Linked DNA regions of Oryzias latipes. The protein of the gene in region 2 interacts with the protein of the main gene of each other region in a biochemical or structural test. Links are inferred from orthologs where the notes say so. Each region holds a gene or a part of one and is shown on either strand. Other genes may lie near its edges.

Region 1 (4,425 bases), on a different chromosome or scaffold from region 2:
AGGCAGAGAGCTGGCCTCTGTGCCCCCCGAGCTCACCGCCTCGCGCCAGTCTCTGCGTATGGCAGTGGGAAATGCTGGAGAGTTCTTTGTCGATGTGATGTGACTGTAGCCTTCTGTTGGAGAAGAAAGTATTAGATTGGACTTTATCAAATAACAAGGCTGAGAAGGACAGCGTGACATTGTGGGAGTGGGAGATTAACAAGTTGGAAACTATGGCCTTGATTTCACTTTCCTTTATAGCAGTCCATTTTTTGCATGCCAAAAGAAAAACCTTCACCTCATTTGTGCTTCTGTTCTTAGTCATTTAGTTATAAGCGTCATACTTTCTTCAGTGAAGAAACAAAGCCTGGAACCAAAGCGCCTTTCACAGCCTCTGCTCCATGCGGGGAGACGTTTTGTGCAAGGACAACAAACAAGAGAACGGAGGGAGGCTTGGAAACGATCTGCTGGGGAAGAGGATGAAGTGCTTTAGCTTCCAGATGTTTTCTAATGTGTTCTGCTGTTTTCTATTTCTTCCAACCTCTCATCTGCCTTCCTGATCTGACACTACATGTCCTCATAGTGTACATCAGAAATGAGAAAAAGAGCCTTTTTCCTCCCTCTCTTGTTTGTGCACCTAAATTCTGACCTCAACCGAAGAAACTGAGCAGAAGTTTAAAAGAACTCAACCTGAGTCAGATCTTTGAATTGTTTAACACAAATGGAAAAAAAGTAGTGCAGGAGAATTTTTTTTTTTGCAGTAATGATGCATTTGTGTTATAATATTCATCATTTTCTAACCCTTAACCTCAGCGTTTAGCTCTATAGTCATTTTTACACAACACCTCAGCTGCTTTACCAGAAAATCATCAACCTGTTTTGTATAGTAGAAAATGTTTCTTATCAGACTTTTCACACTACTCTTTTACTGAGAAAGAAATGTCTTTTTTATTTATAAAGATAGTTTTATGATATATCTGTGTGTTTGTGTGGTGTTTTTGTGCGCACTAAAGAAACTGGTCAGATAAATTCCGTCATTCTGAGATATTTAAGGTCATGATTGCATTTCAAAGCAGTGAATTTAAGACTTCAGGTGAATAAACAAATGATATAATGAAGGTTGAACAAAAGCAGATTTAAAAACATTACACAGAAAAGTACGAATATATTATGAGTGAAAAACTTTTAACTTTTATAATCAACTATATAAATTTATATATTGCTCATTATTTGAGATCAATTTGTTTATAAATTGCAGGCGATTATTGACCAACAATTGTTTTTGACTTAAAATGGTCGAAATCAAAGTAAAAAAATATCTTTGGGTCTTTTTGGTGCGATTGATTGGGAACATTCCTCAAGGCTTGGCCTATCGCTTTATTTTATAAACTAGTTTGAAAATACACATTTCTAACTACATTGGATGAACAGCTCGTGTAGTTTCTCAACTGCTAGGCAGGCCTGGGCGCGGTTAACACCCAGCCATCGTACTGGCCGCGCCTTTTCTTCCTGTCAGCGGAACAGGCGTGCGTAAGGACGGCGAGTCAGCTGACAGTTATCGGGGGACCGGGGCAGCGGGTGTGTGAGCAGAGATTCTGCTCTGCAGACGTTATATTTAAGACCAGGCGGGAAGGGAAAAACTCCTGGTGTTGGTGAGAGGACCAAGGTAAGTTGACAAATTTGTCGTTGTATCCGGAACGAAACGATTAGCTAGAACCCAGTGACTCGCGAAAAGCAGGTCAGCGCTTTCCCCTCTATGCTAACGTTAGCAGCTATTTGCCTAGCTAACGTCAAGCTAGCAGGAGTTAGCCACACGATAACAGAAATGAAGTAATTTCCATTTTGTGGAAACGCTGAAACTGCCGCGTGTGCATGAGATGTTTAAAACACATTTGTCGAACGAGCGACATTGATTGTTTTAACAAACACGTAACCGTTTTGTGTAGAAAACCTGTCAAGTCGCAGAATTGTAGTACTTGTGACCGGATATTCCGTTTGAAAATTCGCCATGCACGACGGTATTTCACTGGAAGCCATCGCCTGCTAACCCGCTATCGCTAGCTAAATTAGCTTAAATTAGCAGTCTGCTTTTACCGAAGAACAAACACTCGGCTGTGTTGCGTCCACGTAACTGTTTAAACAAAACGTTACTGGTAAACTTGGCCCTTGCTTTTCTACAAACATTTGAAATGTATGACTGTATGAAAATGGCCCCAGTGAGTGAGCAGACATCTTGACTTCGCCAGAAAAAAGAGGCGATTAAATCTCTTCAGGTTTTGTGCGGATGGTTAAGTCACGACTTAGCGGTGTTTAAGCGGAAAACATGCTGCTAATCCTGCAGCTAACGTGTCAAGTCTCCCATAGTGTCGGTTTTTCGATGTTTGGATTTTCTGCTCGAGGAATTTGAAATGTCCTTCATGGTTTCCAGAAGGTTCATTCTTATCATCAAGGAGAGAAAAAAGGAGGGACAGAGAGAAATTCCTGTCTCCAGCAGCCCTTAAGTTACTTTTTGTATTTTTTTAAACCTTAAACTGCTACTTCTGTTTTTTTTTTTTTTTTTTTTTTTTTTTTTTATCTAAATTAAATTGATGAGCATTTGTATTCGGCTAAGTGACACATCAAAGACCCACTCCAATTAAAATTGTGTTTTTAACATGTTCTTGACTTGTGGCACTTTTCTGATTATAGAGGACGTACATTAAGAAAATTGAGCTTAAAATTGTGTTTGAGTATTTCTATATTCAAATTGCTGTGAATCAGGAGCAGACGAAAAAACTCCATTGGAAAATGCTCATAGCAGGGAAGTAGGTGCTGCAATCATTGGGCCACAAGCTCTGTACTCCGCTACATTTTGATGCATCCACTTGCAGACTAATAGATCCATCCATGCATGTCTGCATTTTCCTCGCCTGAACTGATATCTGGCTCAACACTGGACAGCTGGACAGCTCCAAAAGTGCTCGCCGTTTTTATTGCTCCAATAATTGGGTTGGAGGTGTGAATAGCTGTAAGCTAGCGGGAGGGCATTAAAACAGATGGATAGAGGCAACTTGGAAACAAACTACCCATAACAGCTCCTAATCTTCTTCTTCTATCTAATATGTCACTGGAGGAAAAGAACTGCCGTTTCATTAGTATGGAGATCCATTGCCTCATCAAGTCAGCGTGTTGGATATGTGTGTGCATCTTTTTGCTTCCTTCGAGTCCGAATGGAAGAAGTGCAGCTGCAGGAATTAGTCAGCTGGCAAAAGGGAAACGAGGATGAGAGAGAAAAGAGGATGTGAGGGACAAATGTGTCTCTGTGTCACCAGCGGTGACTCCCTCACTTTCACTTCTCCTGGCTAATTTTTAATCCTCCATGTCAGTAGTTTTCAGGTAGATACTCAATATGACTATGGATGGAGGCTTAAAACCAACTTTATATTCAAAAAGGATGCATTTTTCTTGTAAAATTACAACTTTGCTCTCATAATTTTACGACTTTGTTCTTGTAAATGTTGATTTTTTTTTTTTGTTGTACTTAATTTTTATTTACTTGTATGGGGCCTTAATATTTTGTTGTAGATATGTACCCCAAAAAGGTACTAGATTTAAATACATGTTTGTATTTTTCAATCATGCATATGAAGATCCCAGCAAAAATGATCACAACAAAAAATGAGATCTTTAACACAAGGTGAATATGTATAAGAAGTAAAACACATTGTGTGGTATTATTCTTTACTACACCAACAATTTTTTCTTCCTTTTTTGATACACAAATCACATTTCTTCATTTAATTTTTATTTTGTATAAATTTAGTGCTTTGTAAAAAAAACTATATTTATAAACTCTGTTTTAAAGATTTTATTGATTCATTGAAGATTTTCCATAAATAAAATATATTCTGAGAGTTACACCTTTGTGAGGGGGGGGGGGGGGGGGGGAAGCTTGGGGACCACTGCCTTCATGTCGTTCCTTTCTGTTTTTTGCCAGGTGGTGTTTGGTTTCATCATGGCAAGGTGTGTTTGAGAGGCAGCCACAATGATTGGAGGACTGTTTATCTACAACCACAAGGGGGAGGTCCTGATCTCCCGTGTCTACCGAGATGACATAGGGTATGTTTGACACGAACTAACCTTCTGTAAGTCTCCTCAAGTTGTGGAAGACTTCAGTTCAATGGAACTATCTGGATCCTGCGTTGGAGGGCTAGCTGGAGTTGATCTCCTCGATGAGAGGATTATGTCACCACATCCAGCTAAAATCATGTCTGCTTGTGCAAGGAAGCTGAGTTAGACGTAAGCCTGGATTAAATCATCCGCTCATATAACATTGTTTAAGGGATTAGATGCTATTTATTTAACAATCTGAAGGCCTATGCAAATTGAATAAATGATTAGAGTTACAGATGCTCAGGCGCATTATCAAACCACACTCTCTGCTTTAGCTAGAGCTGTTCATCAAGA
Region 2 (3,498 bases):
AATTCTAAAAATAGGATTCAAAGAATGATTGGTTAGCCCTCACACGTTTTCACTTCACCAAATCTGGCCCTCCTTGCATAAAAGTTTGGAGATCCCTGTATTAGATCCATGATCTGTTTTGTGATTAATGTAAAATCAAAAAAACATTTGTGTCAGTTATCTTTTACAAAAGCATATTTCCACACCAAAGGATTTTCAGCTAAATTAATCAGCCAAGAACATTTACTAGTGCAGCCACAGATTCAAATGTCATGTAGATTTAATATCAGTAAACATCCAAAATGTTTGGGGGGAAAAAGATGAGGCAAAAAGCAAGTACAGACAGAGGACAGGCTGTGTACAATACCCTGCCCCTATTTAATTTTAACAGTTTTACACAAAACAATAATAATAAAAAAAGAAGTTCTGTGTACCCTCAATTCTAGAAGCTCCATGATTTTCTTTGTTAAAATGTGTCTGGTTTTTCTGCCGCTTGAAATGCTGTAGTAATTAGAGCTGATATGAAAATTAAGATCATTACATGAGCTAACTGCATTTTCCAATCCTGCAAAAACGTAGACAGACGGCTACCCCACTTGAGTTTTGGAAGGATGGCAGACATTGCACGTATATATCTCTGTCAGAAAAAATGTCAGTTCTGGGAAACATCTGAACCAGGATGTGGATGAGTTGGGTTAACAGTATGCCACAAATGGCTGGGTTACGTAACCTGAAATGAGACAAAGAGAGCATTTATTGAGGTCCAGCACATGCAAGCAAAGCAGTTATATCTATTGCATTAAGGGTGCTAACCTTGTGGATGTGAGGAGGCATTTCATCCTCAGAACTCTCTTCAGGCACAGCCTCGTGGTGTCTTGGTGCTGCTTGACCATCTACTGCCCATCCACCCATAGGTACACGAGCCACCCTTACTGGTCTTCCCACCGCATTGAAATGATCTAAAAACAGTTACAAAGACAAAAAAATGATGAAGTGCCAGGATTTTTCATAGATCTTTATACCACCTAAATACTGTTCGGTTAATTCTATAAGAAAAACATTTTAAAAAAATGAAAAAGCTGTTTATAATCAAAGCACAGAATACCTGTGGCGGGTCCACTGTGGCGCCGCTGACTCTGTGATTTTTCTTCCTCCTGGCCTTTGGGCTTACTGCTGTTAGCTGAAGTTGAAGTGGCACTTGGGCTGGACACCACGGTGGGAAAAGTGTGCGAGCGGGGGAAACTTTTCGACTGAGGATTGTGGTCGCTTCTTACTTCGTCTGGGATGCTGTCGCTGCTTTCGTCGCTCTCTCGTCTGTGCCACGTGTGGCGGGACAGCTCACCCCGAGACTGTTGTTTATGGAGCTTCAGGGAGCAAGGCACAACGAAGGGGATTACCGGTAAAAGTAATACGATTGATCAAATGAGTGACATATTCATAAACGGCAGGGGATTTACCTCATGTATGTAAAGTGCATGAATGCTCATCTCAGTAGAGGCGTACTCTGATAAAACCATGCTAGTAAGCTGGCCCTCCCATGCACTGCTGCCTGAGCTTACAGTGTGAGCATCAGTTCTGAGGAAAGAAGTAGAAAAATTTGAGGAAAATATAAAAACCGGACAAGCTGTGCACTAAAGAAGCAGCCAAATTAGCAGATTTGCTCACCCTGAACCACTCATTGCTTTGCCAGTGAAGCCACTAGCTCTCTGAGCCATACTCAGACTGCCTCTCAGATGAAGACTGCTGCTGACAGGAGAAAGGGAACGCAAGGCAGATGCTCCATCACTGCCAGCCACTGCATGGTTGATCAAAGAGTTGTCACAACCAAAATGAACTGAGGCCAGACTGGAGGGTCCTGCTAAGAGGTTTGCTACAAGGCTCCTTGGCTGTGACATGCAGAAAAGGAGAGCATTATACCTCTGAAAGGGTTAGGTTCAAACAAATATGCTTGAATCTTAGTTTTTTGACTTACTTCAGACTCTGACAGAGAGAGCGGATGTGTTTCAGAAGGGGCCCCTGCAGCCTCTCTGTGAACTCGCTCTTTCAGCTGGCTAATGAAGTGTGTGGTCTCCTGAGGAGGCTGCCAGTGTGGGTTGGTGATGGCAAAGTGCATCAGCGATAACTCTGTTTTCCCATCCTCTGCTTGTTGGTAGATAGAGGCCTCCGTCTTTCCCTCCGACATCCACTAATAAAGGAAAATAAAACAACAATTAATCTTGACATGCCACAATTTATAGTTTAAAAAAAACAATTGAGTTTTATCAGTAAAATCACCGCAGGATGTCCATGCTGCCTAATGTCCATCTGAGCAAAAGAGCAAGTGTCTCCGACTCCAATAACTTCTACAGTAAAGTTTCTGAAGAAATCGATGATCTCCAGAGATTTCCTCCTCAGACAGAAGATGAGAATGATGGGAGTCACCACAGGACTTAGCAGCTCTTCTAAAATAAACACCTGGAAGGAAATGAAACAGCAAAATAGTGCAACAATATAAACGGAAATGTTCCAGAAAAGATTAGTTTTCAGAAGAAATTAGGACTAAACTCTCCAACTTTTACATGTTGATAGTTCATTTGACTCCTATCTTGTTTTTAATGAAAGAAAAGAGGTTCATGAGAGTCACCTCATTTAAAGCTTAACCCGAAAAGGATCTAAAAATTGTCAATGCCTTTTGGAAAGCTCTGTCACTTAGCCACAAAAGTCAAATGTTTTACAGTGTGTGTTGATATTTGTTGCAAGAGCTTTTCTAACTCACTGCCTTGTACTGGAAGAGCTGTGAGAACTGGTCTCGCGTCTCATATCTGTGCGCATTGCCCTGCCAGTGGTCCGGCATGTAGTGAATGTGAGCCAGGATGACCCGCAGCAGCTGCTCAGGACAAAACACCATGTGCTTATCCGGGATAAAAGATCTGTAGGGAAACATACCAACAACCACATGGACGTTATTGAACTATTAACACTATTTTTTGATTATTAAACAAAAAATCAATTTACAGATACAGAGAAACAAAGTTTTAGTCTAAAAGTCCTAAAAAATTCCTTTTCAATTTGTGACTTTAGATTATTCATTAGCTGAAAAATAAAAGCATCTTTAAAACTTTAAAATTTCAAAAGATTTTTACAATAAGGCTTTAGATCTAAATAATTTTCTTAAATGACTAATTAATTGGGAACACTTTTAGAAAATAAACCAACATGAGATTAATAATAATACCTCTTATTTTCCCCTCAGGGGTCGCCAAATCAGCTTCCTTCATCTAACCCGATCTTCTGCATCCTCTAATCTAGCACCTTCATGTCCTCATTTACTGCATCCATAAACCTCCTCTGTGGTCTTCCTCTAGACCTCAAATCTTATAAAAGGATATCCCAATAAATAGAATTAAGATTTCCTTAGTTAAATGATACTGTTGCTTAAGTATTTGACTGTGTGTAATGCAAAATGAACTACAAACCAGCTTTAGCTTTAAAAAAAAAGAATACAAAATAACTGATAGGAAAATCTGAAAGGGCAAACTG

Evidence for each region.
Region 1: the proteins of atg9a (region 2) and ap2m1 interact in a biophysical measurement, tested with the Homo sapiens proteins (4 studies listed by BioGRID and IntAct, with this or other methods). The link is inferred for Oryzias latipes from reciprocal best matches to the Homo sapiens genes ATG9A and AP2M1.

What each region holds. Positions count from the first base shown.
Region 1 is NC_019875.2:21,533,909-21,538,333, forward strand, and holds the start of ap2m1 (AP-2 complex subunit mu), read left to right. Parts: upstream 1-1,430; 5' UTR 1,431-1,645; intron 1,646-3,955; 5' UTR 3,956-4,003; coding exon 4,004-4,077; intron 4,078-4,425. Other genes in the region: dvl3 (segment polarity protein dishevelled homolog DVL-3), read left to right, coding at 1-103.
Region 2 is NC_019880.2:8,206,207-8,209,704, reverse strand, and holds the end of atg9a (autophagy-related protein 9A), read right to left. Parts: intron 2,889-3,498; coding exon 2,729-2,888; intron 2,434-2,728; coding exon 2,254-2,433; intron 2,165-2,253; coding exon 1,952-2,164; intron 1,866-1,951; coding exon 1,656-1,865; coding exon of another isoform or gene 1,645-1,655; intron 1,557-1,644; coding exon 1,437-1,556; intron 1,344-1,436; coding exon of another isoform or gene 1,329-1,343; coding exon 1,085-1,328; intron 939-1,084; coding exon of another isoform or gene 912-938; coding exon 733-911; downstream 1-732. UniProt on the Homo sapiens protein: Phospholipid scramblase involved in autophagy by mediating autophagosomal membrane expansion. Cycles between the preautophagosomal structure/phagophore assembly site (PAS) and the cytoplasmic vesicle pool and supplies membrane for the growing autophagosome.